Linked DNA regions of Nothobranchius furzeri. The protein of the gene in region 2 purifies or fractionates together with the protein of the main gene of each other region. This does not show direct contact. Links are inferred from orthologs where the notes say so. Each region holds a gene or a part of one and is shown on either strand. Other genes may lie near its edges.

Region 1 (4,250 bases), on a different chromosome or scaffold from region 2:
GAGGTAGGGTTGGGGACTCTCCACACGTCAGTGCGTGCAGCCGCGATAAGCAGCGCTCGTCACCTCTGTTTGGACAGGGGAGGGAGGTAATTGGGTTAGAGAGCACAGTGACTCCTGTAAATGATTCAACGGCCTTCACCAGTCGCAATCCCGCCCAGGCTGGGATACGGAGACAGAGTTGCCATGGCGACAGCAGCATTCCACATTTCTTCTGAGGGGGGAGTATTCACTTCAGCCTCACAGGCTCAAGGGCACCAGATTCAGATAAGAACTTGTTTTGGGGCCAGACAGAGATAATTTCCTCTCTGTCTTAAAGTTCCATTGGTCTCCAACCCCTCTAAATCTAATAATGGTGTAAATTAATCGATCCCAATCCGCGCTGATCCGTCAACTCTATCCTTGATGTCATCAACCTTCTTTGCCTGAGTCTGAATCTCAGCCAAAGTTCCAAGCTTACGACTCATTTTGACGATTATATGAGTTTGTGCGTTCACAGCGTGGTGTAATCCATCCCTGAGCTCCGGGATTGAGCCAATATTCCTTGACAGCTCATTAATTTTCCAGTAAGGCAGTTAACCACTCAGGCTGTTCGCATCCTACTTTCCACCAGGTAAAAGGAGTTTAGCCGGCTTCAGAACATTATTTTGGCTCATTTTGAAATTCTGAGTGTGACTTTTAAAAGAAAATTTGGGACAAACTGTAGCAGCCTTCGTTTCGCGCTGCTGTTCAACATGCCATCTGCCATGCCAACGTTGGAAGTCTTGGTTTAAACAACTGACTATATGGTCAGTGTAATTTGTGGTATTTGAATTTTCTCAGTTGCTCTTAAAAATGATTTCTCCATAATAAAAAAAAATCTTCGAAAACCGTTGGAAACCCCCTTGCTACTAAACTTTATGCCTTATTAGAACAGCTTGATTTTACTTGAATTTATTTAATCTCTTTTTCATAAGAAAAATAGATCCTCTTTGAGATTTGTTTGGACTTCTTTTCTTGCTTCCATTTTGTTCCCCTCTTATTCTTTTCCTTACTTTTTTGTATAATTGATTGATATATGTGACACACTAAAGTTCTGCTCTTTTTTGCTAATTTATATATATATATATATATATATATATATATATATATATATATATATATATATATATGTATATATATATATATATATATATATATATATAGCTTGTTGGAGGTGCAATTTTATTTAAAGATTTGTACTTGAATTGCTAAGGGAATTGTGTTATTGTTCTTTTTGTTAATAAAGTTTTTTTTAGAGTTGACACGAAAGTGATGGTTAGTTACTAAAATGATGGACAGGAAAATGGTCCAATGAATGTGAAGTTTGCCCTGTCTCTGTGCTCTGGTTGGTCGACAGTTTTGAATAAATACTTCTCGCGGCCAACCTCGCCCTCTTTCTTTCACGCGCCCTGCTACTTGGTGAGCCATGTTGTCTTGTTGCGTTCACAAACCAAAATAAAAGATTAGTTATTTGTAACATATTAAAAGTGTGTATTGACTTCATTTAGATACGCTACCCAATGATGTGTAGCTCTTTATCCTTTTCTAAACACGTAATTCGTTTACGTTAAATGCGGCCTGTTTGGCTAACGCTAACCAGCTAATGTCAGCCGTCGACCTCGTGGGAGACGGTAGAGTTTCTAACACTTCTGGTATTTGTTCTAAATTGAGTTTGGTTAAAACTCAATATGTTTTCTGTTTATAGATTTCACCTTGTCTTTAAACCGGCTGTAAAGCGATCCTTGGAAGCACTGTCAAGATGCCCAGGGAAGACAGGGCCACGTGGAAGTCAAACTATTTTATGAAAATCATCGTAAGGTTGATCTTTACGCTAACAGCGGACGTGATTTGACCAGTTTCCGCAGTTAAATTAACACGCAGTGTTCTATGTGCAGCAACTTCTGGATGATTACCCAAAATGCTTCATCGTGGGGGCAGACAATGTGGGCTCCAAGCAGATGCAGACCATCCGTCTGTCTCTGCGTGGGAAAGCTGTGGTGCTGATGGGTAAAAACACCATGATGCGCAAAGCCATCCGTGGTCACTTGGAGAACAATCCTGCCTTGGAGAAGTGAGTTTTATGCTAACAGCTTTTTGTTGGTGCTTTCCATGGAGCAGGATCTCTACTGTACAGCTTGTGTGGTGCTGTATTGTCGTTCCCCCTGCTGAAAGTAACATGTCTCCTGCTATCCCTGACTGTCTATGTCCCCCGGCAGCCAGGGACGCAAGGCCTCAAACAAGCATAACTAAAGAATGTCAAAAATCATTGTCTGAATTAGCCAATCTTTTGTTTTGACAGGCTTCTTCCCCACATTAAAGGAAATGTGGGGTTTGTTTTCACCAAAGAGGACCTGACAGAGGTCAGGGACTTGCTGCTGGCTAATAAGGTAAATGAATAGTGTCTGGTACAGAAATTATAAAATTTATGGTAATTTAAGTCATTTTTACTTCATAATCATGTGAAACGCGTACAGCGATAACATTAGAATGCACATTTTTGTGTGGAAATCTTATAAGTGTGCAGGATAAGTTACAATACAGCCAGTTCTGTACTGTATTGTCGTTCCCCCTGCAAACAGTGACTTGTTTCCTCGCTATCCCTGTCTGTCACTACGTATTGACTCTCAGGGACGTAAGGTTTCAGACATTATAACGACTATAGATACTGATTTAGTTTTAGGGTTAACGTTTAAGATTTTGTTTGACAATGACAATTTTTCCTGACATTATTCCTCAGGTACCTGCAGCTGCTCGTGCTGGAGCCATCGCCCCTTGTGATGTGACGGTGCCAGCTCAGAATACTGGCCTAGGTCCTGAGAAGACCTCGTTCTTCCAGGCTCTTGGTATCACCACCAAAATCTCAAGAGGAACCATTGAAATTTTGGTGAGTTTAGACAGCTGTTCTAGTTTTTAATTTTAGATGGAAAATTGGAAATCGATACCATGCATTTTTAAAAATCTTCAAAAGTGTGGCAAAGTGCACCCAGTAACTGCTGCTTTTGGTTTTTTTAGAGTGATGTCGGCTTGATCAAAACCGGTGACAAAGTTGGTGCCAGCGAGGCAACTCTGCTCAACATGTTGAACATCTCACCCTTCTCCTTTGGACTCATCATTCAGCAAGTGTATGATAATGGCAGTGTTTACAGCCCTGAGGTGCTTGACATCACAGAGGCTTCTTTGCACACCAGGTTCTTGGAGGTGAGGCACAAGGTCTATTAACATTTTAATGTTCAGGGACATTATATGTCTAAATTGCACTTTTCTTAACTTGTCCAGGGTGTGAGGAACATTGCTAGTGTGTGTCTGGAGATTGGCTATCCCACTTTGGCCTCTGTCCCCCACTCGGTCATCAATGGCTACAAGAGAGTCCTGGCTGTCGCTGTGGAAACGGATTACTCCTTCCCCCTGGCGGACAAGGTGTTTGACTCATTCTGCTTTAAATTGTTTTTGGTTAACTTGTAAACCTGTTGGTGTAGCATGCATCGTGCTGCACGGCTGATCCTTATGCAAAAGGCATGTTAAATTCACGTCTGTTAGGAGTGCTTATTTTTGACTAATAGCATAACTAGAAATTAACACTTTGATATGTCCTCCGCAGGTCAAAGCCTTCCTGGCTGACCCATCTGCTTTTGCTGCTGTCGCAGCACCTGTAGCAGCTGCAGCAGTCTCTACAGCTTCAGCTCCTAAGGAGGAGGTGAAGGAGGAGTCTGAGGAATCAGATGATGACATGGGCTTTGGTCTGTTCGACTAAACCTGTGAACAGTGAATGAGTCAAAGATCTTGATTCAATAAACTTTAATAAAACACATTCCTTGTGTAAGTTTTTGAATATTTTAGGAGATAAACATTTATAAAAGAAACAAGATACTATGGCTTCCATGTAATGGTCTCAGATTAGCTGGGAAAGGAGGATGGGTCTGTAACAAACCAGATGATGCATCAGAGTGACGTTAAACATCAAGAACATTGAAACTTCCGGTTTGGGTGTGTCAACCTTCAAAATAAATTGATTACTTGATAAAAGTTCTGTAGAAATCGAAATCTCGGAATTGAATGATCTACAGTATTTAAAGGGAGGCTTGTGTAATGAGAAATATTATTTTATATATAGTTTTCCATCTGACCAAACAATGTTAACTTGATTTTATTTTTTTACCAGAAGAAATCTCAATGAGGTTAAATGTCAGTTGATCAAAACGTTTAAAGAGAAAAAATATCTATTGCATTCTACT
Region 2 (4,457 bases):
AGCTAATGCAGGTAATGGGAGTTGAATACAATTTACACGTTTAGCATGCATGTGAAACTCAGAGAGACTGGTCATATTTCAAGTGTTACACAGTTTCCCAGTGACGCCTTTAATTAAACAAAACGAAACCACAGCACTGTATGTTCAGTTGCTTTTCCACTGACAAAACTACTATATTCTAAAGGCTTGGAGATAACAACTTGGACATGGATGCCATCCAGGTTATTGCCGATACTCTGAGAGTGTCAGACAATATCACTCACCTTGGGTAAGATCTCGATAAAATATCTGAACACGTTTCAGTTTCAAAATAAACCCAAAGCTTGAAGATTTCCTAAACAGAATGACAGACTAAAATATGTCCCAATGTGTTACTTTCTTTTCCTCATTTAGACTTGGATGGTCAAACATCGCTGATGAGGAACTGGAGGCTCTTTCCAATGCCATACGAGTGAAAAGAAGGCTTCAAGAGCTGTGGTAAGAACCTTCTGAGGGTGACGTGGCATTTCAAATGAACTCTTTAGGGAAGTGAGTCAAATGACAGAATTAGAAATCGGTTTAAGCTTTGGTAATTTTGTAACATTCTTTTTTCCGGTTTGATGAATTTCCACACCTCTTGATTGATGTAAACACTAAGTGGGGGATTTTCTAAACACGCTCTTCTCTCACAGGATGGAGGGGAACCGAGTCAGCTACAAAGGCCTGTTTTCACTCAGTGACTTGACTCCATTTCCACTGAAAAATATTGTGTAAGCTAATGGCTTTGTTTTAAATCAATTTAAATTCTAAATATTTGAACACTTTGTTATTGTAAAAAAATGCATTTAATTTTCATCTTCTTACAGAGCCATATGGAATGACTTGTATGACCCAGAGCCAGAGTCCCTGTGCAGCCAAGAGAGTATTGCTGTGAATTTTACAGATGACGAAATGTGGGACGAGTGGGGGAAATGGGTCCTTCAGCGCTGTGAGGTCAGCAGCAATGAAAAGTTGGTCACGGTACTGCGTAACGTTTGCAACACATCAATAGATTGCGTAGAGGATCAGCGGGCAAAGACTTTCTACAATCAGTTATCGCAACTCATCAAGAAAAGGATTGAGTGCTGCACTGAGGATGATTTGTGCAAGAAACTAAAAAAGTTTGAAAGTATTTTGAACATATGAAAATGTGTAGGAAATATATGAAATATGAAAAATAACAAATGTATGTAGTTTTGTTAATGTCAAATATCGCTTTTTGTGTAACTTCTTATGACTCTACACATACATTAGAATAAAATGGGAAGTATTAAATAAATGAATGAATGAAATAATTAATATGAAGGATGAAACAATGCAGCACAATAAAGAATGGCCCGTACGGAGATTGCAACCGCAATCTTGGCGCTATTAGCACCACACTCTAACCAACTGAACTAACCGGCCACGGTTTACGTCGTGAAATCGTTATGTATTGATCTTAGCTCATATTTCGTATTCTGCTGTCCGCTATATGATGCACATTATTTTGTTTATATTTTTAAAAAAATCGACTGGATAGAGTTCACGCAAATTATCAACAGAATCACTGAAACCGAAATGAATGATTGGTTTACCTTTATTTTGAAAAGACTTGCCGGATGTAGAAAAACGCTCATGACGACTTCAGGCTGCGACGGCTCTGAGCAGTCATTAGTGTGATGTTATGCAGCAAGCTGCGATTTAATAACATTTTTACGAATTTAAAAGCCAACTGGTCTTTTTATATTTTCTTAAATTGGGTAAGTTTTCATTCTAGTTTTTCCTCTGGGTGATAAAGATCGGTTTTCCAGGTTTGGAGGTACTAACACCAGCGCAGCGTTTTTGAAACCAACCCGCGAATTCCCCTGTACTAACGTCGAATGTTGTTAACAAATGTTAGCCTTACGGACCGCGGAAACAGTCAGAAAATGTGTTATTTTCCTTCTAAATAATATATGTTTAGTGCCATTCTGGTTTTAAGTATATTATGCTTCACAATTCAAACAAACACGTCATAAAACGACAAAATACACTCACTGGCCACTTTATTAGTTACAACTGTCCAACTGCTCCTTAAGGAAAATTACTAATCAGCCAATCACATGGTGGCAACTTAATGCATGTGGGCATGTAGAGATCACGAAGACGATCCCCTGAGTTCAAACCGAGCATCAGAACCGGGAAGAAAGGTGATTGAAGTGATTTTGAACGTGGCATGGTTGTTGGTGTCCGATGGGCTGGTCTGATTATTACAGAAACAGCTGATCTTCTGGGATTGTCACACACAACCATCTCTAGAGTTTACAGAGAATGGTCCAGAAAAGGGAAAACATCCAGGGAGCAGCAGTTCTGTGGTTGTTGATGCCAGAGGTCAGAGGAGAATGTCCAGACTGGTTCGAGCTGATAGAAAGGCAACAGTAACTCAAATAACCACTCGTTACAACCGAGTTATGCAGAAGATGCGAACCTTGAGGCAGACGGGCCACAGCAGCAGAAGACCCCTCCACGGGTACCTCTCATGTCAGCGAAGAACTGGAAACTGAGGCTACAACTCACACAGGCTCACCAAAATTGGACTAAAGAAGATTGGAAAAATGTTGCCTGGCCTGAAGTGTCTCGACTTCTGCTGTAACATCCATCCTGCCTTGTATCAACAGTTAATGCTGGTGGTGGTGGTGGTGTAATGGTGTGGGGAACATTTTCTTGGCACACGTTGGGCCCCTTTGTACTAACTGATCATGTTGCAAAGCCACAGCCTACCTGAGTATTGTTGCTGACCATGTCCATCCCTTTATGACCACAGTGCACCCATCTTCTCATGGCTACTTCCACAGGATAATGCACCATGTCACAAAGCTCCACTCATCTCAGACTGGTTCCTTGAACATGACAATCAGTTCACTGTACTCAAATGGCCTCCACAGTCACAAGATCTCAATCCAGTAGAGCACTTTTGGGATGTGGTGGAACCTCTGAGGAATGTTTCCTGTACCTTGTTGAAGACTTAAGGCAGTTCTGAAGGCAAAGGGGTTCAACCCGGTGCTAGCAAGGTGCACCCAGTAAAGTAGCCAGTGAGTGTATATATCTGGTGTAGTTCCTTAAATGGTGCTTAAATTCCGGACGCATTTTAAATAGGGTAAAAGTATAAATAATGCAAATAAATGACAAACTTTTTAATGGTAAGTTAATTAGATGAAGGTTTTGTTTGATTTTTAAAGGTTTTGTGCACCTGTGAACCGACGGCAAGTGGCAAAGAAATCAAGTACATTTCTTTTACAAAACATTCATGTTTTTTTGGGTAGTTTATTAATTCTGGCTGGATCAAAATGATTTTGATGGCTTCATCTAGTCTCTACACTAGATTTAAATACTAAACAGATCTGGTGGCTTAAATCTGTTCTTATCGTCTTTTAAAATGTGATCTCTGCATATTTTAGGCTTTATATATATTTAGACAAACATCAGTTACACAACTTAGCATCCAGACAGCATATTGGTGAATAAACTGTATGTTTCTGGTGTTCAATATACAGTTATAAACTCTGAGAGTGGTAAATATTGTATGATCTGCCAAATGTAGTCAGGGCATGTCAATTGAAGTCTGTTTTTTAGGAAAAGGGTCAAACTACTTATAGTCCAAATGTTGGCCCAAAAAGAGAGTGACACCTTTGTTTGTTTTCAGATTTGTGTATTTTTGGTCTCTTAACCTTATTTAGTCGTTTAACTGTACTGTTTTTACTCTGAGGCGTTGTTGTTATATTACGTATTATAACTACCTTCTCAGGGTTTCTATGGAAATAAGTGCTTTATGCTTTTTTTGTGCTACCCTGTATATTTATTGTTTTTATGTCATATTGTGAAACTTACTTGTATTATTTTATTCTATAATTATGTTATCTATACAAATAAAAAATCAATCTATCAACATAAAGATCATAATAAACAATCCAATGATCTACGCATCCCTAACTCACTCATTGTCACAAGGCTCTACCCTAGAGTTTCTAGTACAGTTTGACTGTAAAAAGTCTTGACTCTCATTGTTTGTGTTCATGTAAACAGCTCTAGACATGTGCGTGCTGCTTGTGTGTTAGCAGCTTGTATTATCAGTAGGAGACCGTCGTTCATTCTGTCGCTTTGTGATTAAATTAGGTCTCGTTCCTCCCAAAAACTCCCGTAAACAGACAAGTCCACAGTCGTCTACTCTTTCTGAATGTGTCTGTGTTAAAGAGCTCCGCTGTCACCCCACAGCCAGGATGCTGAACACAGAGAAAGAAGCAGCTGATGCAGTAACATCTATGGAGAAGAACAAGGAGATGGAAAGAAAAAAAAGGTCTCGAGTTAAACAGCTGCTCAGCGACATAAAGAAGCAAGTGGAGTTTTGGTTTGGAGACGTCAACCTGTACAAGGACCGCTTTCTGAAAAAGCTCATCGATGAGTCCGACAAAGGATGTGAG
Region 3 (4,449 bases), on a different chromosome or scaffold from region 2:
GGATCCGATCATTTTGTTTTTCCCTCATTTACAGTGACGGAGATAACGGCGCAGTGCGCCTGGCTCTGGTGTTAATCAAGTTAAATTATATCTCTTTGCAACAATTATCACAAGGAAACAGAACAGTTAAAAGCAGGGCTTGTGTTGACTGGACAGTTCCCGTATTTGACTGTTTCTTTCTATTCATTCTCTGTCAAAATAATTACCCCGACGCATGCAGACGAACTGACATTTTATTTGTTTCGCACATTGCAGATGTAGCTAAATCACTAAAAAGATTCCCATCTGAACATCTGAGCTGGACACTGCTTAGCGCAGCTTACTGTCAGCGCGTACGTACGGTGCACAGCGAGCTGAAGATGTGGAGAGGGGCTTGGAGCGCGTCGCAGAACCAGAGCGCATGCAGGAAGATTCCTCCGACTAAAGCGAGACTTGTCACTTAGGAAATGTTCCCTGATTATGAAACTTTGGCTGAATAGTGCTTGTCCCAATGTGGCGACACACCCAGGAGCCATCTGAGGAGAATCCCAGAATCTCACATCCTCTTCAGCTCAGAAGCGCCTATGATTACGCACAAGCGTGACCCGTCAACCCGGTCTCACAGTAAGACTGGGTTGGAACTGTTCAGGTTTACGCAGACAATCTTTACATTTAGAATTGGCATACAGATGTAAAATTAATGCAGTAAAATATAAAGAATTTTATGTAAATATCCATTCATTATTTTACAAGCACAGAGAGCCACGTCAGATGGATGGAAGAGCCGCATGCGGCTCCAGAGCCGCGGGTTGCCGACCACCGTCCTAGTGGATCCAAAAAGAGAAAGAAGCAGCATGCTTCATTTTAGCTTTTATTTTCACTTCTGAAAGTGACGTCGATTTTTGATGTAAACATCAAAAGAAAGCAGAAGGGAAAGACAATGGAAAATGGTTAAAGGGAGGAAAACATGGACCAAAATGAAAAAAAAAAAAAAAAAAAAAAAACAAAGGCAAAAGCACAGGAGCACTGACAGGAAAAAGAAAGCAGAGCAAATATTGAAAGCACTCAAAGGGAGGGAAATACAGGAAAAAAGAGGACTAATAAAAAGGGAAAATAACTCATGTCAGAAAAGGGGAGTTTTGCAAATCCAGTTAAAGGTAAGATTGTCGAAAATTTTGTGTAAAGTGCCCCATGACTGTGCTCGCCTTGGGCCCTCAAATTGCTAAATCCGCCACTGTTCATATACCACACCTGTGAGGTGGGATGGATTATCTTGGTAAAGGAAAAGTGCTCACTAACACACGTAGACAGATTTCAGAACAACTTCTGACAGTCATGGGTCTTTTGTAGCCTGGCAAGCCAGACTAAGTAAATGTATTATTTGTCTGGCCACGCTCCATTGACGGGTCTCCGTTGTGGGGCGGGTTCTACCGTTGTCTTTCAAATGATCTCTGCATTCCACTGGACAATGAATGTGACATACTCTTGTTTCACTCTGTTGCATCATCCCACCCACCAGGCATATAGAGTGCCCTGATTGGCCCACAAAGTGGATAAAGCTTTGTGATTTGTTCACTAAGCAGATAGAGCACTATGATTGGCTCACCATTATGGACCAATCACAGCTCCTAATGTGTTTGAAACCCCTCTAGAGAGTTGTGATTGGCTAGCCAGAGTCCTGGTAGGAGCTGCAGAGGTTCCAATGGAGCATGCCTAGACCAAACTTTGCAAAGCAAGAATTTGGTCTAGTTCACTAGGCTAGGTCTTTTGTGTATGTAGACAAAGTTTCAGATGTTTGAGTTCAGCTCATGAAAAATGGAAGCAAAAACAAAAGTGTTGCGTTTATATTTTTGTTCAGTGTAGGAAGGCATGCCAGGCTAGGAAAAAAACGATTAAAAACGTTTGTTGTGGTTCTTTTAAAAGAAATCTGCAACTCGGTAAAATCAACTAAATTTAGCATTGACTCACAAAACGTGAGTGTAAAAATCTAAATATACGTTTTCATTTTTTTTTTTAATAAATACTAGTATCGCAATGAAGACATTAAATTTCTGTAGGCACCGACACACATGTAGGAAAACTCCGGCGTGATTACTAACACGTCTTCAGTGTAAAAGATGAAACAGAAAATCCCAAAATGTCGATCTGGGTTCATGGATGTGGTTCAGGGGACCGACGACCCCAGCCTCACCTTTCTCTGCAGCTGAGGAGGGGGCCTTCTCCTGGGTTGGAGTCGCTGCTGCTCGGCGAATCGGCATGATGGGGGATTTACCTGAACACAGGAAAAATGTGTTGGCCGCACAGCGGTACGTGGCCATTTCTGTTTATGTGCGTGCCGTGGTTGAGGCAGGCGGCCACTACTACGGCCGAACACACTTAATTCAATCACCAGGCCCATTTTCATTAACCTCGATTTATTTTGTTTTTACAAAACACTGACTGCCTTTAAGTCAGCACACCGTAATCTCATTTATCCTACAGCCTGGAACAAAGGGACCAATCCATGAAACTCACACAATTAGCTGAAAGACTTTTTCGGCAATTTCGCCATTTTGTCCATTGGTTTAGAAACACAGTAATGGCGTCGTGCAAGGTAGATGGGATTCTTTCAGTACCATGGTCAAATACAACAGCGGTGTCGTTGTTAAGCGTGGGAATCGTGCAAGTTTAAGTTAACCAAAACATGAACCGTGGCGCCCTTTTCACTTACCTTACCTTCTGCTTTTCGGGAAAAAGAACGATACTTAAAAATTTCTGCACGTTCCTTTATTTCGATATCTTGGTTAACGAGCCCCGCCCCGTTTGGACCGTTGGTGACGTAGAACGTCACACATTACGTCGAAGGTGCGTGACCAAGAGACCGTCAGAAAACAAACACAAAGGGAACAAAAACAAAAGGAAACGCTGGAGAACTTTTTTGTAACGAGGTGAATTTACAGTCCCGCACCAACGTGGCAATCATTCACAATTTTTTGCTTCAAACGAGCAATTATTTTGTTAAATATATTTTTGTGAAGTTTCTAATTTTTACTCCCATTTAATAAAAACGGATGCAATGCCACCGTCCTGACCCAACGGAACAAAATAAAAGTGAACAACAAATTGTTATATCTGGAGGGAATATCCTCAGGAAATAGAAATGGTATATTCTACAAACATATTCAAATAAATTCTCTCAAAGACCTAAAGCAGAACCGAAGATGGATTTCTATTTAGTTTATCTTTTGGCTGGAAAAAGGAAAATATTCTAACTTGCAAGTTTATTGATTCAATTAACTGCAGTTATAGATATAACATGTGTGTGTATTGCATGTCAATTGGGACAGAACTTAAAAATTCTGACAGAATTAATTGTAATTGACATGAGTGGATCAGCAGATGGGCTTGGAGTCTTCCAGCTATTCTCCAGGTGCACCCTGGCATATTTATGTCTACAGGTACACCTCTTGTTCTTGTCAGGCTCTTATATCCAAAATGAAGAAAAACAAATGATAGAAGGCTCCAAATGATTTTCAGGCAGGAAATGTTTCCTTGAAACACCAACACAAAAATAAGAAATCACAAGAATCAGCACCTTTTTAAATACATTTTTTGTCTTTAATGTATTTACAAGCTTTAAACTGCTCTGTAGGGCTTAAGAATTACAAGCATCTTGGGTCAGCGGCCCCGGCCTTTTGCTTTGTGAAATTTAACTTTAGTTAAGTTTCGCCTTGTTCTGCGTAGTTTGAGTTATGATTTGCACACTTCTACCTCTCTCGAGGCATGTGTTCATATTAACACAGCAAGTTGAGGCTCAGGGAACACCTCTTGGTTATTCCAAGACAACCTCTGACCTTTAACAGCGTTAATAGTTCATGTTTATTCCCTCCTTTGTTGCTCCCCATTCTTCTCAGACTAATGCTGTTGAACCCCGTTTTCAAAACCAAACGGTGTGAAATCCAGGGAAGATGCCCATCTCGCAACTACTGTGTTATTATAATTAACTGTAATGTTATTTATATTGTTGTGTCCTTGTTGTGAGCATCTGCAAAGGTTAAATAACTTTCATATTTGCAGTCCTTAAAAAAATAATAAATTAAGGAGTCCAGAACCTATGTATTTTTAAGTCTCTTCTTAAAAAGTAACAAAAAAAGTAAGTTAAAATTTAAAACAAAAATATTTTCTATGTATGATACAGATATTTAGTGCTTCCACCGTCGGAATCCAAACTCAAGATGGCGGCATGTTTCAGAACCGTGTCGCAGAAGAAGAAAAAAAAAAAGACACAAAAACAAATTAAATTCCAGCCGTAAACACGTCGTCCTGTCTGCACAGCCTTTTAAAAGTCCGTTCTGCTGTTAGGGATGTAGTTCTACGCCGTTTTCCGGACGTCTCCCTTATCAATTATCCTCCGACTCCTCCTCTGCCTCCCGCAGCCAGGTGAAGAAGGCTGTGACGGATTTGAGGGCAACGCCTTTGCCCTCCAGCTCG
Region 4 (3,741 bases), on a different chromosome or scaffold from region 2:
CGTCAAATAGATGATAGCGTTAGTTATTGGATATTGACCGATTTGAGTTTTTCTGTTGCCGATATCTGGAGGTCCTGGACAGCCGATGGCCGCTAAGTGCTGTCGATTTTCACAGTTTAAGTTCTAAATGTTTTCCACCTTATCTGCATGATTAAGTGTCACCAATAACAGTGGCTGCACAACATTTCTGAAACCCTGAATGTAATCAACTGTTTAATCTATAATTAAAATGGTAATAAAGCTTTTATTAAGTAGATGTTTTTCAGGAACTTAAATATATATTTAAAAATAATTCTGCTGCACATGGATGTGCCTTTAAATTGGTTCTACTAAAAAGGCATATTGGTCGACGCTGACCTCAGAACCTCAGAAGTCAGATCTCAGACCTGGAAATGACGTCACACCCAAGTAAACCACGTTCTAGTCACCGTTTTCGGAGAAGCGGGGATCCCATCATGGCGACGCCCTCAAACGGCTCTTTTGTTAGCTCATAATAAACATCACTTGTTTACTTTTTAATGTAACATTGATTTTAAATGCACTCTTATGAATGTGTCTTGTAAAATAAACACAATGCAACTAAAACTTGATGATCCAGGAAGAGGAGCAGGGCCTGATGCCATTTTGGATGGCAGCTCTCTGGATCAACGTCCAGTGCAGAGAGGCATTTTCCATAGAGGCTGAATTCATTCCGAGTTGCCATTTAGTCGTGAATCTTCTGTCTTCAGCCTCAGATTATTTAATCCAGATTACTTTGGGAAACTAAGCATTTAACTCTGTGATTTATGTAATTCCACAGCTTCAATTTGCTAGTTCAGTTTTTAGATTGAAAATGAGATGGTTCATTATTACTCTTTATTTTGTTAAATTTGCTAGCACACAGTGATGTCAAACATTTTACAACTAGTAATAATAGAGAATTTCATTTATTGGTTCTTTTCAAGACACTAGAGCATTTTATTTTACAAGAAATGTTTGTTTCTATAATTTATTTAAACGATGGCAATTATCCCCATGTCTCAATTGCACTGTTGCCGTTTGCTAGACTGGACCGCCATTCCTATGCCTCCTCATGGGAAGCAAAGGGCCTGGGGCCTCATTGATCAAGCTTGCTTACTCACAAAACGGGGTCGGAAAACAGCGTAAGCAACTTTCCACGCAAACTTTGGGATTTATGAAAGAAAACTTAGCAGAAAAATGTACGCAACTTTTAAGTTGACTAAGGACCTGGCTTACACACATGTTGGACATGGAGAGCACCTGCAGTGCTGCTGCTGAGAAGGATACAATTATGAAATCCTGCAGCATTATCACTTGTACTGCTTTGTTTTCACACAGAACAAGTTACTGACTGGCTTTCAAAGTAAAATGTTACTTCCTATTTGTTCTTGTTCACCTTCTAAACTATTTAACCCTTTTTTTAAACAAATAAAAGAATTAATGATGCACCGATATTAAATTTTTGGGCCAATATTGATATCCGATATTAAGATCACTGTTGTGGCCGATAACAGATATACTGACAATAATGCTTCTAAAAACAGCAGATTTTGTATAGAATGAAATTACTAAAGCTGAATTTATGTTATTATGTACACACACCACACACATTTACGCTTCTGAGATAATGACTAAACAAATACCCCCCACACACACACACCACACACACACACACACCCTGTGAAACAGATGGAATGGAAAAAATAAGATGGAAAAAAAATCAATTGTTAATATCGGCCCAGTTTTCTTTATTGGACCGATACCGAAATATATTAAAAAAAAGTCTTAACATCGGCCGATACCGATATGATGCCAATTTATTGTGCATCCCTAAAAAGAATATTCATAAAAATGTCTGTTAGATTTGGTATTAACATTTTCATCCCCAGTTTTTCATTTCACAATCTGGTGATGCTCATTTAAAGAGAGAGATGGTTAGATATATTTAGCATGACATTCAGAAGAAAAATGGATGGCTTTGAATTGGTAAAAGAATGGTTTTTGAATCAAATCATTTAACTGAGAGCCAGTGGAGCTTCTGCAATGTGGGACGCGATTGGTTGGTGAATTGGTGTCTGGAGGTGATGGGGCGGTCAAAAACTAAAGTTTGTGGCTAGATTTGTGAGGGAAATGCATCCATGTGGGCTGTGACCGGGTTTTGTACAATAGTGGAAACACTTTTAAGGGACAGGCGGATGAATATTAGGCAAATGGAGACCTGCAGCCTGACGTGAGCGTGAAACGATAAGGAGCTGTTGAAGATGACTTCACTGAGGAGTGTTGGTTTATTGCCAGGGAGAAGCTTCTGATTTACTGTTTGATTCTAAGAAGAACATAGTCTGAAAGGTAAGAGAGGGTTTTGTTGGAAAGCCAGTTGGGTGTCATCAACATAGCTGCAGACATTTCTGTTGGACGTGTGAGAAAAGTGTTTTTCAGCATTTGAAAACAAACGGAGCTTTGAAAAAAAAGGAAGTTGTTTTCTTGGCAGGGCCGCGTGCAGACATCCAGATTAGCTTGTTCACGAGCGGCGTTCAAATATTCCGTGAACTTTGAACTCAATCAAGCTGATTCTGTTGGGGAGTAAACGGCTGCTTCATACTTCAGTGACTTGTTGATGTAAAGAGATGGGGGGGGGGGGGGGGGGGGCAAGATGTCTGCCGTGAGGTCATTCTGTCCACCAGACGTTGACTTAATCATCTGATTATCTCACAACCTCTCTAGAAGACCGTGTCATAAAATTGACAAATGATGAACTGGTTCATGTGGACGTGTGATTTATGTGCTGAGCATGAACTCCTCTGAGTTTTTATCTGTGTGAGTTGAGCTTTGAACTGGATCTTTGGTAAAGCCTTCTCTTGTGTACTGAAGTGGTTCTGAGTCGAGCACATTCCGTGTTCAGGGCAGCGGGAATGCGCCGGCTGATTAGTCATCAGTGACGCACATCAGCATGATGCACCAGAATGTAGGGCAGGGGAATCTCCTCCTACCCCTGACTCGCTCGCCTCCCAAACTCTGTGTGTGTGTGTGTGTGTGTGTGTGTGTGTGTGTGTGTGTGTGTGTGTGTGTGTGTGTTTTGAGGGAATCAAAGATAAACATGTCTGTTTTGTCTCGCTACCTGATATGAATGGAGTTGTGCTTAAGAAAGTAAACCTAGTTTATTTTTTTTTAGATAACGCTCTTCAATAATTCCTTTAAGATTTTCTGAACACTGATGGGTTCTCTCTTCTGTTCTTCCACTGATGTTTGTTTTCTTATTCGTCAGAATAAACGAGACGAGCATTTACTGAAGAAGAGAAATGTCCCACAGGAGGAGAGTCTGGAGGACTCTGATGTCGACTCTGACTTCAAAGGAGTAAGTGTGTGTGTGTGTGCGCGTGTGTGTTTTGTAATGAAGTGTGCAAATTATTAAATGTGCTTCTACATTTTCAATTTTTACAGCAAAATGTTACACTTGATGCAATCCTACAGGTGAGCTTTTTCATTCTAGCCGTCCTGTGCTCTCAGATGAGCTGCTGTTCTGTTCTATCTGACACTCTCGTGTTTTTGTCCCCGCAGAATGCAACCAGTGATAATGCAGTTATACAGCTCAGTGCTGTACAGGCAGCCAGGTCGGGGGCTCTTCAGACGTCGTTTATGTCGACATTTCTTGTGATTGTTTACCATGAAATGAAAGTTTGTTCGTTTTCGTGTGTTTTGTCAGAAAACTGCTCTCCAGCGACAGAAACCCTCCCATCGATGACT
Region 5 (4,252 bases), about 45 Mb from region 2:
CCTTCAGAACAGAAAATCAGTTAGCGTTGCAATTTTTTTAAAATAGGGAAGAAAACAAACAGTAATGAAGACACGTCTTCCATCGGTGTAGACGGACATATGTCCCCACGTGTCCTCCTCGGTACCACCACCATCCCACCTCATCCTGGTGCTTCTGAAATGCACCGTGCCCACTGAGCTCAGTCCAGGAGCTCCAGAGCCTCTCAGTCAGTCTCCATGGCACCGCTGTGCGTCTCCTTGGACACCATAAGTCTCATCAGTTTCCCATGCAGCTTCTCGATCTTCTTCACGTCCTGAGCCTGGTCTGTTTTGTACTGCAAACACTGAAAACAGAAACAAACCGTCACCGATGGTGAAAGATCATCAACATGCCCTAGAGCCTAGAGTGTCTGTTGAAAGAGACAAAGAACGCAAGCTTGTGATTGGTCAGGAGGACGCTGTCACTTCATCAACAGCACAGTCATTGTGGCTTCAAAAATTAAAGATATTTAGTGGCAGACACGGATAAGATTGAAAAACGCATCGCGGAAAAAAATATGCGCGTTTATTCGCCCGCGACTGAAGGAGTACAAAAATATGCAACGGGTGTTTTATTTGTAGACGGAGAAGACAAGAACCGCGAGTTTAGAGGCCCCGACTGTATGAACAGGTGGAGAGGACTGAGGGACAAAATCTCTGAAATATAACAATGTAAACACAACAGTAAGTACACCATCATGGACCGGAAATGTGACTAATGGTGGCAGGATACCTCAGAATAGTGGTACGCCCTCTGCTGTCCTGGAGGGGAATTGCTTTGCAACAATCCTCAGCTGATGGAGGAGTCTGAAAGCAAAACATCGTGTGCATCTCTCGCCGCAGACACACGCAACGCCACTGTCCGTCCACGCAGGGGTTTACCAGCAGGCTCACAAGGACAGACGGAGTCGAGCCCACTTCCCTAAACATCCATCCAACGAGACAGAGAACGCAAGCTTGCGATTAGTCAGCATGTCGCTGTCGTCAACAGCGCCGCCATTGGCCCCTCAAAAACATAAAGAAAGCCAAAGACAAAATCTGTTGTTTTGGCGGAGAATTTCTTTGCAACAGGGTCGGGCCAGTATGATTAGAGGAGATACGACCAAGCCCCCACCATGTGGCTCAAAAATGGAGTCAAACCCGGAGGTACCAAAAATTACAGTTCCACCCTCATCCACTAGGGGCTGGTGTCAGAAGCGAGCAAATCCTCATTGACTCCCATGTTAAAAATACCAATTTCACAGCAGAAATAAACATGTTTACAGCCTGGTACCAGAACATGTTTTTGGTTTAAATGATCTAGTTTACACTCATGACAACTCTGAGGGGGGTGAATGTTTTTCTCACTCTTCTGTTTAAGTGTATTAAAAGCCTAAAATTCTGTATAATTAATGAGCATCAGACCCACGTGACCACAGAGCTAGCTCCGGGGAAAGGCCTCAGTAGAGCCTCGGTCTGGCCTGGAAACTGCTCCGGGATTTTGAGTCTCTGTGTTTGTGTATTCTTGTTTGGATATTATTTGTGCAATTGTTGGACAAAATGACTTGCTGTGGCATTAATTGCACTAATAGAGCGTCCAAGGAGTCTCCACTTCATTTTTTTCGGTAAGTAAAATTATATTTATGTATTTTAGGTCACTGCCGAGCTGAGCTTAGATTTTAACATGTACTGTTTAACCATGAAATTTAAATGTAATAGGGTAAAACCCAGTGCATTTAACATAATGCTGCACTTTAGAAAATGGGTTGAAATATAACATGTTGGTGGAGCTGGGTTCCCACTATCGGCTTGTGGAGCTCTCGGAGACCTCTGTGTTCCACCCGGTTCTCCCCAGCGGTCAGCCCGGCGTATCTCTGACTCAGAAGCTCTGGTGTTGTGCACAGTTAACTCCGGTTGTAGCTAGGTTGCTACCTCCGTTAGCTTAGCTCCCACCTCCGCGTTAGCTTTGGGTTAGCTTCAGGTTAGCTTGTAGCTAGTTCGACCGGGTGTCGTCAGTTGATCCCAGCCTTACAGCCCCACCCTCAGCTCCTCCTCTCTTCCCTTTTGTGGAATTGTCGGGGCTTGACTGAACAAGTGACACGGTCAAGATGGCGGTGGTGGCCACCTCCCATTTAGCCTCAAAAACATGTTATTGGAGCCTATGGAAATGAATTGTCCAGTATATATATGTCGATGGATACGACGCAGCAGCAGGGGGCGCAAATGTGCATTTGCTTAAGCATGAGTCAGGCTTTACGTTTTGTGGTCACTGACCTTTTATAGGATCAGGATGGGACCCACCATAGGCGGGCTGGCGTACATGAAAGCTCTTCAGTGATTGGATAAGGAAGGGATTATCCAATAGGCGTCGCTTTAAAGGGCTAAACTAGAATATGGGGTTACAACACTTAACCGACGTTTTCCTCCTGTCACCCTTATTGAAGCGCTGCATCTCTAGGAGTGGAGTCGCTTTACTTCGTCTGCTGAACTTTAAATCAACACAAGGTGGACGCTGGGGTAAACCTGACACAAACAGCAGAACATCGTTCTGTTTCCTTCGTTTGTCTCACCACAGCGTTGTCGGTGACTTTGATGCACAGGTTACCGTCGCAGTGTCGATACTTCAGGACCACTCTGACCTGCAAAAACAACAAAAACGCGTTCAGGAATTCTGGCATGACGCTCAGAACCAACACCATCATGTGGCTAACAAGCTAGCTCCGTGTGCTAAAACACACGAACTCACCTTCATCGGATCTGCCAGGTAGAGTTTTTCTGCCGCGCGAGCGAACTCCTCCCAGACCTGATAGTAAGGCATTATTTCCCCAAACGTACAGAGTTAGATCAGAATGTGGGGTTAAAGCAACGGAGAAGCGACAAGCTAACTTAAAAAACCCACATCAGCAGCAAAGCCGCAGCAGCCTATCAGATTTCAGATAAGAGGATACGGAAACCCGTCGATCAACCTTTTTTCAAAGTAAAAGTACACCAAAAATAAGCCACTTCAAGTCAAGTCATTTTAAATTAATCGATCATCGCCACTTTACTGACACTTTTATCTTGCATCACGATTAAATTAATAGTTGTCTGTCTCCGTCTGATGCACAAGTCCTTACAACATTAATCTCAGTTTAACGTTTCTGAACATTCTCGTTAGAGTCAGACGACTTTTATTTTGAATGAACGTGTCGTATGCCGGAAAAGTTTCTTTTTCTTTTTTTGAAACTGTCAAAGGTTTAAAACAGCTGTACGAACTTTTCTTCACTGACCAAATGGTCTCTATTATTATTGTTATTATTATTATTATTATTATTATTATTATTATTATTTATTTATTTATTACAGGAGTGCCAACTTGCGTTTAATTGCCGACGACGCACTTCTCTACACGTTACAGAGGGCTTCTCCAAGTGAGGACCATCCAACCACAAAGTTACTAAAACTGCTGAAAAGGATGCATCACCATCATTAGTGGAAATTAAGACTCAGCCACTTCAGCCAGGCCTCAGAGTTGTTCTCATAAGCTACTCTGTTGTCTATACCTGATGTAGGAACAATCAGTGGGATATTCTGTGGTGACACATTTTTGTTTTCTTTTTAAATGTTTTTAGGTTTCAAAAGGAGCAGCCAGTTTTCTAGCTAGTGGTATACAGAGGAGCTTAGAGATTTCAGACTTTGATGAAATGTTGGTTTGTATCCACTTACATTAAAGCAGCATGGGTGATTTTATGTTGAACCAAATAAAGGAAGTGTTTCCGCTGCTCACAAAGGAACTCTTCAATTTATTCAAGCTGAAAATAGTTGATAAAAGCAAGACAAATACGTATATACAGTGGGTAACTGTACAGTCTAAACCAGTGTTTCCCAACCCTGATCCTCAGGGACCTCCATGTTGCCCTTTTAAACACCCGTGTGTCTCTTCTTCTTCTTTGAAATTAGGCAGGCTAGACACCTATAAAGCGTATTGCTGCCACACCAGCCAACACACTGAGCCAGCACAACCCACTGCACACAACAGGCACGAGTACCATCCCACCCCGTGTTCCCACACAACCACCACCAACAAAAACCCACCACCCGTTCACACCCCAGTGAAAACACACAACCCCACATGGAGGTTCACCCCATACTCACACTCCCAGCCCCACCATCTACACCCACCACCAAGGGCGTCCCACAATCCTCAGCAGACCAAGAACCCCCAACATCCCGCAAACACGTTGCACCCCAAACCTCCTCGGGGGACACGTCAGAA
Region 6 (4,468 bases), on a different chromosome or scaffold from region 2:
AGCTAAACCCGGAACCATTAGGACTTACTCACACCCAGCCTCCGGCTGCACAGTTGGCTCTGATGATGAAGTCGTCCTCTAGCATGTTGTCAGGGTTGCTGAAGTCAAAGTCTTCATCCAGAGCTGCCACGATATCTGGGTCCATGTCCAGTCGGGGTCCTGAAACAACACATCAGCTGTTTCCACCACCGGAGCATCAGGGTAAATTTACAGGAACTTCCCGACGTGCATGCGTCTCCCAGCCAGATGAGGCGTTTTCAGGAACTCTCAAAGGAACAAGAGCAGAACCAGGAGAGGGAGATGAAGGTCCCACCAAGCCTGAACAGGTGAGTTTAAAGGAGACCACTGAGTCCACTGATCTCAGGCTCAGGGGGAGAGAGGTCCAGAGTCTGGGGGCCACAGCAGCAGATGATCTGTCACCTTTGACCTTTAGCCTGGTGCTGCACAACCAGTAAGCTTTGATCACTGGACCTCAGGGACCTGCTGGGGGTGTAGGGACTAAGAAGATCACCAATGTAAGATGGTGCTTGTCCATGTAAGGCCCTATAGACCAGAACCAGGATCTTGAAATGAACCCTGAAGTTGACTGGCAGCCAGTGAAGCTGGAGGAGAAGCGGGGTGATGTGGGTGTGTTTGGAGGACTTGGTCAGAAGCCGAGCACAGGCGTTCTGAACCACCTGTACAGTAATCCCTCGCTACTTCGCGGTTCGTTCATCGCGGATTCGCTGCTTCGCGGATTTTTTCTTTGGAGCATTTTTCAGGGGGAATTCGCAGATTCGCGGTATTTTTCACTGATTCGCGGTATTTTTCTATGCGAAATATCAAGAAATTCTTGTTTTTTTTCATCAATTTCATCATAAAATGCACTTTTTGTAATAAAACAAAAAAAAAACAAGTAAAAAAATTTTTTTCTTGAGTTTTACCCCCAAAAAGAGAATCTGATCATACGATAATTCAATAGGGAGCGTGGTTTCACAGACGCGGAAGTGATAGCGTCGGTGAAACGCCGGCTGCTCTAGGAAACCCCCGAGCGTTCGAGCGTCAACGAAGTGACACGGAAATGCCGGGCTTTCCAGAAGTAAGTAAGATAACTTACTATGAGCTGATAGTTCGTTGGATTGATCGGTAGGTTGGAAACTGATCATGAATCTGAAGAAACGATGACTGAGTGGTGAGCTGGAAAGGCGACTTCCGTTTATAGCCGCGGTTTGTGACGTAGGTGCGACGTGGAGGGAATCCCCGCGAGGGGCATGCTGGGAGTCCCTACTTCGCGGATTTTCACCTATCGCGGCCAGGTCTGGAACGCATCTACCGCGATAAACGAGGGATTACTGTAGACGGTTCAGGGAGGTTCTGCTCAGACACGTGAAAAGAGAGTTACAGTAGTCTAAGCGTGAGGAGATGAAGGTGCATGTTACGGTGTCCAAGCTCCTACCTGCCATAAACTGTGTGACGTTACAGTGTCAGTGTGGTCTATGAAACCATGAATATTGATGTAGTGCAACTTGTTAACATAAAAACTAAGCCGTTGTTTGAAAATCTCATGCTTGATCTTTTCCACCCGATTGTTTGAATCCTGATCAGAAATCAGATCACATGACCAGATCAAAGCATCCCTGATCTGAGGTGCTCTACCTGAAACAGGTGCAGCTTTGTTCAGAAGTCCCACCTCTTCCTCGAACTCTGAGGCGAACACTGAAGAGGGCAGGTGGATAGAAGCTTCCTGGTCAGAAAGCACAACAAGGATTAGATCAGTCCTTGTATCACACCGGCCAGCATCACTCAGGTGTGTAAATAAACATGGCTGACAGCTCCCTCTCAGCTGATCAATGTTAATAAAACCAAAATAAATGTAAAACGTGAAACTCCTCTGATAAAGCTCTTATGAAGGTTAGGAAGAAACAGAATGGTCAGAGATACACGACTGGGTCACTACCTGCCGTTCTCTAAACTACAACGTCCTACACGTGACCTTCAGGGCTGAAGTAAGGCTAAACAGAGACTCACAGGAACATTCTTGTCTGTAATCTTTTCACACTCCTCATCTTCTTCATGTCGGCGGTGAATCGTGGGTTCAGCTGTGACCAGCTCTGAGGGGCCCGACGCCTCCTTCAGGTGCTGCAGGTAGTCATAATCATCATCGAAGAAAACACCAAACTGTCTCTGCTCCTCACGCCTCTTCTCTGCCTCTGCCTGAAAAACACAAGGTCCTGTTAGAACCACATCAGGTCTTTGGGGACATCTGACAAGGTTTTCTCTGCAGCTGGACCTTAGTGGCAGGCAGGAGGACGTGCTGTGGTGCTGTTTCATCTGCAGCCAAAGGGTCCCTCTGACTCCTGTGGACCAGGTGAAAGGTCACCGCTTTCTTCTTTTCGATGAATGATTTCTTCTTTCGATGAGGCTGGAACAGATTTAGACGACATTTAGTTAGAACATGTTAAATCAGATAAACGCCACCGAGTTAAGATGGCTTATAACAGCTGGAGTTGCTGTCTGAATGAGAGCAGGAGGACGTGAACAAAAAGGCATCTTTTCCTTTCTGAACAAGTTTTCTAAATCTATGCAAAACATTCATGTTTCTGGAGGGAAAAGGAACAAACACGCTTGAGATCGTCATCGACATCCACCAGCTCATCTAGAAAAGCTGAATTAAAGTCATATAAACGAGCGTTAGCTGTTACATACTTGTTGTTATGCTCACCACCTTAGCTGCTGTTAGCTAACACGGCTAGCTTAGCAGGAAAAGGTCTTCTTACCATTTTGTGCTGGAATCACAAACGTCTCCTTCAGCAGCTGACACTGATTTAATGTTTATAAAAACTCGACCTCCGTGTATCTGTTAGAGACAGCGACCTTTCACATAAAACACAAGTAACGTCTTTCCACGCTGACGGCGATGCCCGTGCCGGAAACCCGATCCGTAACACGCATGCGCGAATTTTACGTCACTTCCTCTTTGCCAACTTTGCGACAGTTACAGACTGCGTTACGTTTAAACCTCCGAATACACATAAATTTATTTATTTTTTATTTATTTTTTAAAAGGTTTTATTAACTTGTGGTCGATACATTCAGAAAATACATTCAATATATCCATGGATCACATTTTACAGTTGTTTACAATAGCAATAACATACATGCAACATTAGGAAACTATTAAACAAAAAAAAAACAAGAAATAAACAAAATAGTGACGAAAACATATATAACGTAGAAACATAACACTTAGGGGTCTGCTGTGTCTAAGTTGAAATGATGAAATAAGTTGATGGTCTTTGTTAGTTTGTTGTTCTTCTTTTTTAATTTTTCAATGCTGTTCCAATATTTCATAAGGTCTGTAATTCTGAAATTATAGAAGGAGGGGATACTTTTCTGAAAAATCATTTTATGTAAATAATATTTTGCTAAAATAATGACTAAGTTAATTATGTATTTTTCATTGGATGATAAATGAGGGTTAGTAACAATAAGAAGTATTTCATATTTGCTTAAAGAAATATTTTTTTAACTTTCTGGAAATGAATCTTTGTAAATGGAACCAAAACAAAGTTACATGAAAGCAATCAACAAAAACATGTTCAATATTTTCTCCCTTACAACCACAAAAAGCACAGATGTCAGAAACATTTGGAAAATAAATACAGATGTTTGCTTTTGACGGGTAATATCTCCGAATACACAGAAATGCATGCTTTTCTCCTCAACGGAGAGCTTCCGGCGATTGAACAAGAGCGCCGTAAAATAGGAAGAATGGCGCCTAATTACAGACTTAAAGGTAAGTACGAAAATTAAAGATGATCTTTTATCATGGTCTACAGCTGCCCTTGCTGCTTGAGGGTACGGACTCAACGTTAGTGTTCTAAAGTTGCATGACGCCTGCGTTGATTCAGGAGGGTGTAACGAGTAATATCAGTGTACAGTGTATACAGTGCAGCATCGTCTGTAATATCGAAATTCTATATACAGTATAGATCTATATCTTGGTGTGTGGGCTTATTTTAGATTTTAAAAAATCATAAATACAATATCATATATATTTTTTCTTCTCCTGGCACTCACAGAGCACAGTCGCTTCTGCTTTGCTCCCTTATCTTTTTCTCCCAAGGCTCTTTTTGTCCCGTCTGACTACAGAGCGCTTCTCTGCATTTCCTCTGGAGATCACTATTTTTCAGAAATGGATTTAATTAATTGGTCATTCAACGTGATTGATAAGATTTTTTCTACGATGAGAACGGAGGAGGGGGCTCCCACTTGCCCTCACGGGACACACGCAGCGGGATATATGCTCGATTCCTGGAAGGTGTGGAATGTCATCTGTCTCTCTCAGCTGTCCATTCAGGACTGTATCTGTTTTGTCTATATGTGTGTGTGTGTGTGTGTGTGTGTGTAATCTTGGTCAGGCTGTTCTGTGGAGTCAAGTTCCTATGCTCTGGTTCGCTGGAGCGCTGGCAATAAAATTATTTCTGAT
Region 7 (4,306 bases), on a different chromosome or scaffold from region 2:
AGCTGGCAGCCCGCGCAGCAGACAGAAGCCGCGATCAGACAGAGATGCGCCGAGCTGCGGGGAGGGAAGAACCGGGTGGAAAACATCGGTCTCCCGAGAGCTCCACAAGCCGATTGTCGGAACCCAGCTCCACCAACATGTTATATTTCAACCCATTTTCTAAAGTGCAGCATTATGTTAAATGCACTGGGTTTTACCCTATTACATTTAAATTTCATGGTTAATCACTACATGTTAAAATCTAAGCTCAGCTCGGCAGTGACCTAAAATACATAAATATAATTTTACTTACCGAAAAAAATGAAGTGGAGACTCCTTGGACGCTCTATTAGTGCAATTAATACCACAGCAAGTCTTTTTGTCCAACAATTGCACAAAAAATATCCAAAAAAGAATGTACAAACACAGAGACTCAAAATCCTGGAACAGTTTCCAAGCCAGACCGAGGCTCTACTGAGAGCTAGCTCTATGACTTTGAACGTCAGTTGAGAGTCAGTCTCATGCCAGACTGACCAGTGAAGAGAGGGCCTCAAGTTAAGACCCTCTCCTCATTGGTCAGTCCACACAAGGTGGGTCAAAGGTTACCCTGAGCAGGTTACATGATGTCAGGCATTCAAGTATTGAGTATATTTACTGCATATTACAGTAAAATATTCTGTATGTGACCATATTATGGTGATCCTTGGGTCATGATGATGGGGCCCTTGAATATTGTTGCCCAGGGTACAACAAAGTGTTAATCTGGCCCTGCTCCTGCCACCAACAGAGCAGCTGTTTTGGGGAGTTTGCAAAGAAAATGTGAACTTATCGCTATCATAATCATTCTGTCCTGTTTTGCAAAATACTGCGTGCTTTTTGTTTCTTTTACTTACAAAACTGAAACACAACTGTGAAATTATTTATCACACTGTTGGACATACTTTATATCTCTTGGCTCTCAAGCATTGATGCAATCTTATTAAAGCAGAGTAAATAGGATAAACATGTATGCCTTACCTTGGTGTGAAATATAATAAAACTGCCCTTTTTCACCCAGGTTGCAGGTCTGTTTCTCTTCTAGAGTAATGAAAACTGCTGAAAAAAAGTCTAAATCATAATCAGCTTTGAATTCAATTTCGATATACATTTAATCAGATGATGAGAGATGTGTTCTAACTTGTAAACAACAATATTTATTATAAGCTCACATTTGACGTTTTTTATGTAATTTTATAAAAGAAAATGAAGCTGGTATGTTGCAAAATAGGACAGAATGGTTATTGTAGCGCTAAATTCATATTTTCTTTTTTAAAACTCCTCAAGACCTAGGCTGTAACCCTGTAGCGAGGAAAGACGGTTCCTCTTACATTAAATAGCCAATCGCAACAGAGCCCATCCAGCTAATCAGAGGCGAGAAAAGCGGGACGTCATACGATTCCAAATGACGTTTACGGCGAGGCTACGTAGGGAAGGTCTTCGATCTCGCGAGACTTTCCGTGAATTGGCGTAGCCGCGTTTGTGTGGTGTGTGTTACTGTACACGCTAACTAAACCTAACCACCTAAACTTTGTCATATTTGTCGGTAAACCTCTCCGGTATACATAGTTAAGGTGAAGTGGTCTTTAGAATCAACGTAACCATGAGTGTGCTTGCCAAAATAGCAGAGATAGAAAATGAGGTAAGGCGAAAGTTGACGCTTTAAACCCTTCGAGTCTGTCACGTTTAGTTCACATAGCTACTGCTAGTCGCTAACGCTATCTCATAAAAGAAGATCCATTTTAACCTATATTTGACTGGCCCCGCATCCCTGACAGTTTAAGCTGTTAAAAAAAGAAAATGTATTTCAGTGTTCAGTTTAGTTGTCACTTATAGATGAATAAAGAGATTAATGTCAGTTCACAGATGTTGGCAACGCATATGCTAAACCGGTTCTAGCTTAGATTTGAATAACTGATTAATTTAATCTGTTAATTGCTTTAATATTATCGTTATTAACTGACAGATGCGCTGAGTTGACAATATCGAAATGCACTGACGCGAAAACGGCACCGGACCAAATTTTTGTTTTTAAGCCACTCTGAGCGTACAGGCATCAAATATAATTCAGATACGTGTAATAAATGGTTGTTTGTTGGTAATCTGTTATAAAAGTACAAATTGTCTCCAGTTCTTTAGAGTGCTACAAAATATAAAAGCAGAGTTAGAATTAGGGGTAGACCAATATATATAGGCCGATATTAACGGTTTTTTATACATCAGTGTTATTTGTCTTTCAGAAAGCCAATTTAAAGTCAGGCACATCCTCAGGCAGCCCGGTGCTGTTATAGAATTTAATCTAAATGTATTTTTGCATTCACTAATAAAATCTGCATAATAAATACTCTAACTTTATATAGTTGCCTCACAGTGCACAAAGTTAACAGTTATGGGCCATTCCCATCTGTACCGGGTCGGCCCGGGCCGGGTAGCGTAGGTTGTTTACATATCTGGGTGGTCTGGTATTTTTCTGGGCCAAACAAGGCTCATTCTCAGCCCTCTTCTCAAGGGGGTCTGCTTCAGGCCGACCAGGGCCAACACACCCACTGCTGACAGCAAATTCACACCTTCCATTAGAGCAAGCCTCTGATTGGTGGGTAGAATCAGCCCACATGGGCTTAAGACAAGAATGTGTGGAATCAACCAGGCCAGGCTGGGGCCGACTGGGGCTACCCGGCCCGGGCCAACCCGGTACAGATGGGAATGGCCCATTATTCGTTAAATTTAGAGATCAAAAACTGCTTCAGAAATTTTGTGCATCAACCGTTATTAGTGACAGTTAAGCATGAAAATCAGGTGGAAAATGTCTAGATATTGGCTATTTGAAATCGGGCCATAAATATTGGCAATACATATTGGACATTGGCTGAACTTGTCTCCTACATTTCGGCAATAGAAAAACAAATATCAGTAAATAAAGATTATTACAAGAAAATCAGCTTCCTAGGAAGCAAACCTGAAGAAGTTATGCGTGGTTTAAATGTTTTGAACAATGCTACTACTGTATTATTAAATAAACTTTTTCGAATAATCTAAATAAGTTGGTGTAATGAAATAGATATCCATCTTTCCATCAAAACTAATATTTTTTCTGCAATATCTGTATGCTGTGTGTAAAGTCAGATAGAACACAGATATGTATGACCTCCTATAATTATACTGAGCTCATATTAGGCACCCATCCAGTCTTCTTAAAGTTTCCTTTTAATTTTGAGCAAGCCATGAATCAAAATTTAGACATTTCAAGTAATTAGCTTCTGTTAAAGTTCTACTTTGAAAGCAATAAAACGGTCCAGCTAAATGTTTTACTTCTTATTTCATCATGCACTCTGGTGTTACTGTAGATGGCCAGGACACAGAAGAACAAGGCCACAGCTCACCACTTGGGTCTGCTCAAAGCACGTCTAGCTAAGCTGAGGAGGGAGCTCATCACACCAAAAGGCGGGAGTGGTGGTGGACCTGGAGAAGGTAGTCTTACTATATTGTGTATTTAATTCACAAATAGCTCCAATTCAGGAATTGTTTCTGAGGTTTCTCTCCCATGAGGCATTTAAATTTATGTCTGTTTTTATCCATAATTACAGAAATTCAGGTTTTTATTCTCTCACATACAGGTTTTGATGTGGCAAAAACCGGCGATGCTCGAGTTGGTTTTGTTGGCTTTCCTTCAGTAGGAAAGTCCACCCTGCTGAGTAACCTAGCAGGTGTGTACTCTGAGGTTGCAGCATACGAGTTCACAACGCTTACAACAGTTCCTGGGGTCATTCGGTATAAAGGTGCCAAAATTCAGGTACAGGAAAATGTCTTCCAGTCCTGAGATATTAAAGTGGTGTTTCATTGGGTTGAGATTTATTTTTTCTTTATAGCTCCTGGATCTTCCAGGAATCATCGAAGGAGCCAAGGACGGCAAGGGTAGAGGCAGGCAGGTCATTGCAGGTAGAGTTTTATTAGATTTCTGCTAAAGCAAAAAGAAAGCCACTGATGTTATAATTTTGGAATTTAACTGAAATCAGAAATTAACTTTGAATAAAAGGTTTTTTTTATGAATTGCTGTCAACTAGACCTAACTTGTGTGTTTATAACCTAAAACACGATGACTTATTGTAAATGTTTTATTTATAACTGTTTCATGTTCTTAGAGGCCTTAGCAGGGTTTCTGCAACTATCTAGCTCCTAAAATAGCAAACAATTGTGCAGACATGGCAAGCTTTATTCTCTTGCATCATTCCAACTGTATCTAATAAAACAGAATGTTATCTTTCCTCTTTCTGTTTTATTCTCAGTGGCTCGA

The links.
Region 1: the proteins of larp7 (region 2) and rplp0 purify together in Homo sapiens (affinity purification with mass spectrometry; 3 studies listed by BioGRID and IntAct, with this or other methods). This does not show direct contact. The link is inferred for Nothobranchius furzeri from reciprocal best matches to the Homo sapiens genes LARP7 and RPLP0.
Region 3: the proteins of larp7 (region 2) and hp1bp3 purify together in Homo sapiens (affinity purification with mass spectrometry; 3 studies listed by BioGRID and IntAct, with this or other methods). This does not show direct contact. The link is inferred for Nothobranchius furzeri from reciprocal best matches to the Homo sapiens genes LARP7 and HP1BP3.
Region 4: the proteins of larp7 (region 2) and kpna3 purify together in Homo sapiens (affinity purification with mass spectrometry; 3 studies listed by BioGRID and IntAct, with this or other methods). This does not show direct contact. The link is inferred for Nothobranchius furzeri from reciprocal best matches to the Homo sapiens genes LARP7 and KPNA3.
Region 5: the proteins of larp7 (region 2) and srp9 purify together in Homo sapiens (affinity purification with mass spectrometry; 3 studies listed by BioGRID and IntAct, with this or other methods). This does not show direct contact. The link is inferred for Nothobranchius furzeri from reciprocal best matches to the Homo sapiens genes LARP7 and SRP9.
Region 6: the proteins of larp7 (region 2) and ltv1 purify together in Homo sapiens (affinity purification with mass spectrometry; 3 studies listed by BioGRID and IntAct, with this or other methods). This does not show direct contact. The link is inferred for Nothobranchius furzeri from reciprocal best matches to the Homo sapiens genes LARP7 and LTV1.
Region 7: the proteins of larp7 (region 2) and drg1 purify together in Homo sapiens (affinity purification with mass spectrometry; 3 studies listed by BioGRID and IntAct, with this or other methods). This does not show direct contact. The link is inferred for Nothobranchius furzeri from reciprocal best matches to the Homo sapiens genes LARP7 and DRG1.

Annotation. Positions count from the first base shown.
Region 1 is NC_091743.1:54,619,583-54,623,832, reverse strand, and holds rplp0 (large ribosomal subunit protein uL10), read left to right. Parts: upstream 1-1,357; 5' UTR 1,358-1,437; exon of another isoform or gene 1,438-1,649; intron 1,650-1,723; 5' UTR 1,724-1,777; coding exon 1,778-1,831; intron 1,832-1,913; coding exon 1,914-2,089; intron 2,090-2,317; coding exon 2,318-2,405; intron 2,406-2,755; coding exon 2,756-2,902; intron 2,903-3,030; coding exon 3,031-3,216; intron 3,217-3,294; coding exon 3,295-3,435; intron 3,436-3,616; coding exon 3,617-3,769; 3' UTR 3,770-3,826; downstream 3,827-4,250.
Region 2 is NC_091742.1:73,341,292-73,345,748, forward strand, and holds the start of larp7 (la-related protein 7), read left to right. Parts: upstream 1-1,613; 5' UTR 1,614-1,760; intron 1,761-4,230; exon of another isoform or gene 4,231-4,251; 5' UTR 4,252-4,256; coding exon 4,257-4,452; intron 4,453-4,457. Other genes in the region: NACHT, LRR and PYD domains-containing protein 3, read left to right, coding at 185-268, 394-477, 672-749, 846-1,164. UniProt on the Homo sapiens protein: RNA-binding protein that specifically binds distinct small nuclear RNA (snRNAs) and regulates their processing and function.
Region 3 is NC_091743.1:76,856,199-76,860,647, reverse strand, and holds the start of hp1bp3 (heterochromatin protein 1-binding protein 3), read right to left. Parts: upstream 2,817-4,449; 5' UTR 2,690-2,816; intron 2,252-2,689; 5' UTR 2,238-2,251; coding exon 2,171-2,237; intron 1-2,170. Other genes in the region: eif4g3a (eukaryotic translation initiation factor 4 gamma 3), read right to left, coding at 4,359-4,449. UniProt on the Homo sapiens protein: Component of heterochromatin that maintains heterochromatin integrity during G1/S progression and regulates the duration of G1 phase to critically influence cell proliferative capacity.
Region 4 is NC_091754.1:26,743,949-26,747,689, reverse strand, and holds part of kpna3 (importin subunit alpha-4), read left to right. Parts: intron 1-3,262; coding exon 3,263-3,352; intron 3,353-3,438; coding exon 3,439-3,468; intron 3,469-3,555; coding exon 3,556-3,608; intron 3,609-3,700; coding exon 3,701-3,741. UniProt on the Homo sapiens protein: Functions in nuclear protein import as an adapter protein for nuclear receptor KPNB1. Binds specifically and directly to substrates containing either a simple or bipartite NLS motif.
Region 5 is NC_091742.1:28,143,396-28,147,647, reverse strand, and holds the start of srp9 (signal recognition particle 9 kDa protein), read right to left. Parts: upstream 2,946-4,252; 5' UTR 2,816-2,945; coding exon 2,744-2,815; intron 2,637-2,743; coding exon 2,568-2,636; intron 324-2,567; coding exon 204-323; 3' UTR 1-203. UniProt on the Homo sapiens protein: Component of the signal recognition particle (SRP) complex, a ribonucleoprotein complex that mediates the cotranslational targeting of secretory and membrane proteins to the endoplasmic reticulum (ER).
Region 6 is NC_091747.1:66,352,689-66,357,156, reverse strand, and holds the start of ltv1 (protein LTV1 homolog), read right to left. Parts: upstream 2,918-4,468; 5' UTR 2,760-2,917; coding exon 2,757-2,759; intron 2,402-2,756; coding exon 2,270-2,401; intron 2,194-2,269; coding exon 2,008-2,193; intron 1,724-2,007; coding exon 1,636-1,723; intron 160-1,635; coding exon 33-159; intron 1-32. UniProt on the Homo sapiens protein: Essential for ribosome biogenesis.
Region 7 is NC_091746.1:51,122,585-51,126,890, forward strand, and holds the start of drg1 (developmentally-regulated GTP-binding protein 1), read left to right. Parts: upstream 1-1,467; 5' UTR 1,468-1,618; coding exon 1,619-1,657; intron 1,658-3,359; coding exon 3,360-3,483; intron 3,484-3,629; coding exon 3,630-3,805; intron 3,806-3,881; coding exon 3,882-3,951; intron 3,952-4,298; coding exon 4,299-4,306. UniProt on the Homo sapiens protein: Catalyzes the conversion of GTP to GDP through hydrolysis of the gamma-phosphate bond in GTP. Appears to have an intrinsic GTPase activity that is stimulated by ZC3H15/DFRP1 binding likely by increasing the affinity for the potassium ions.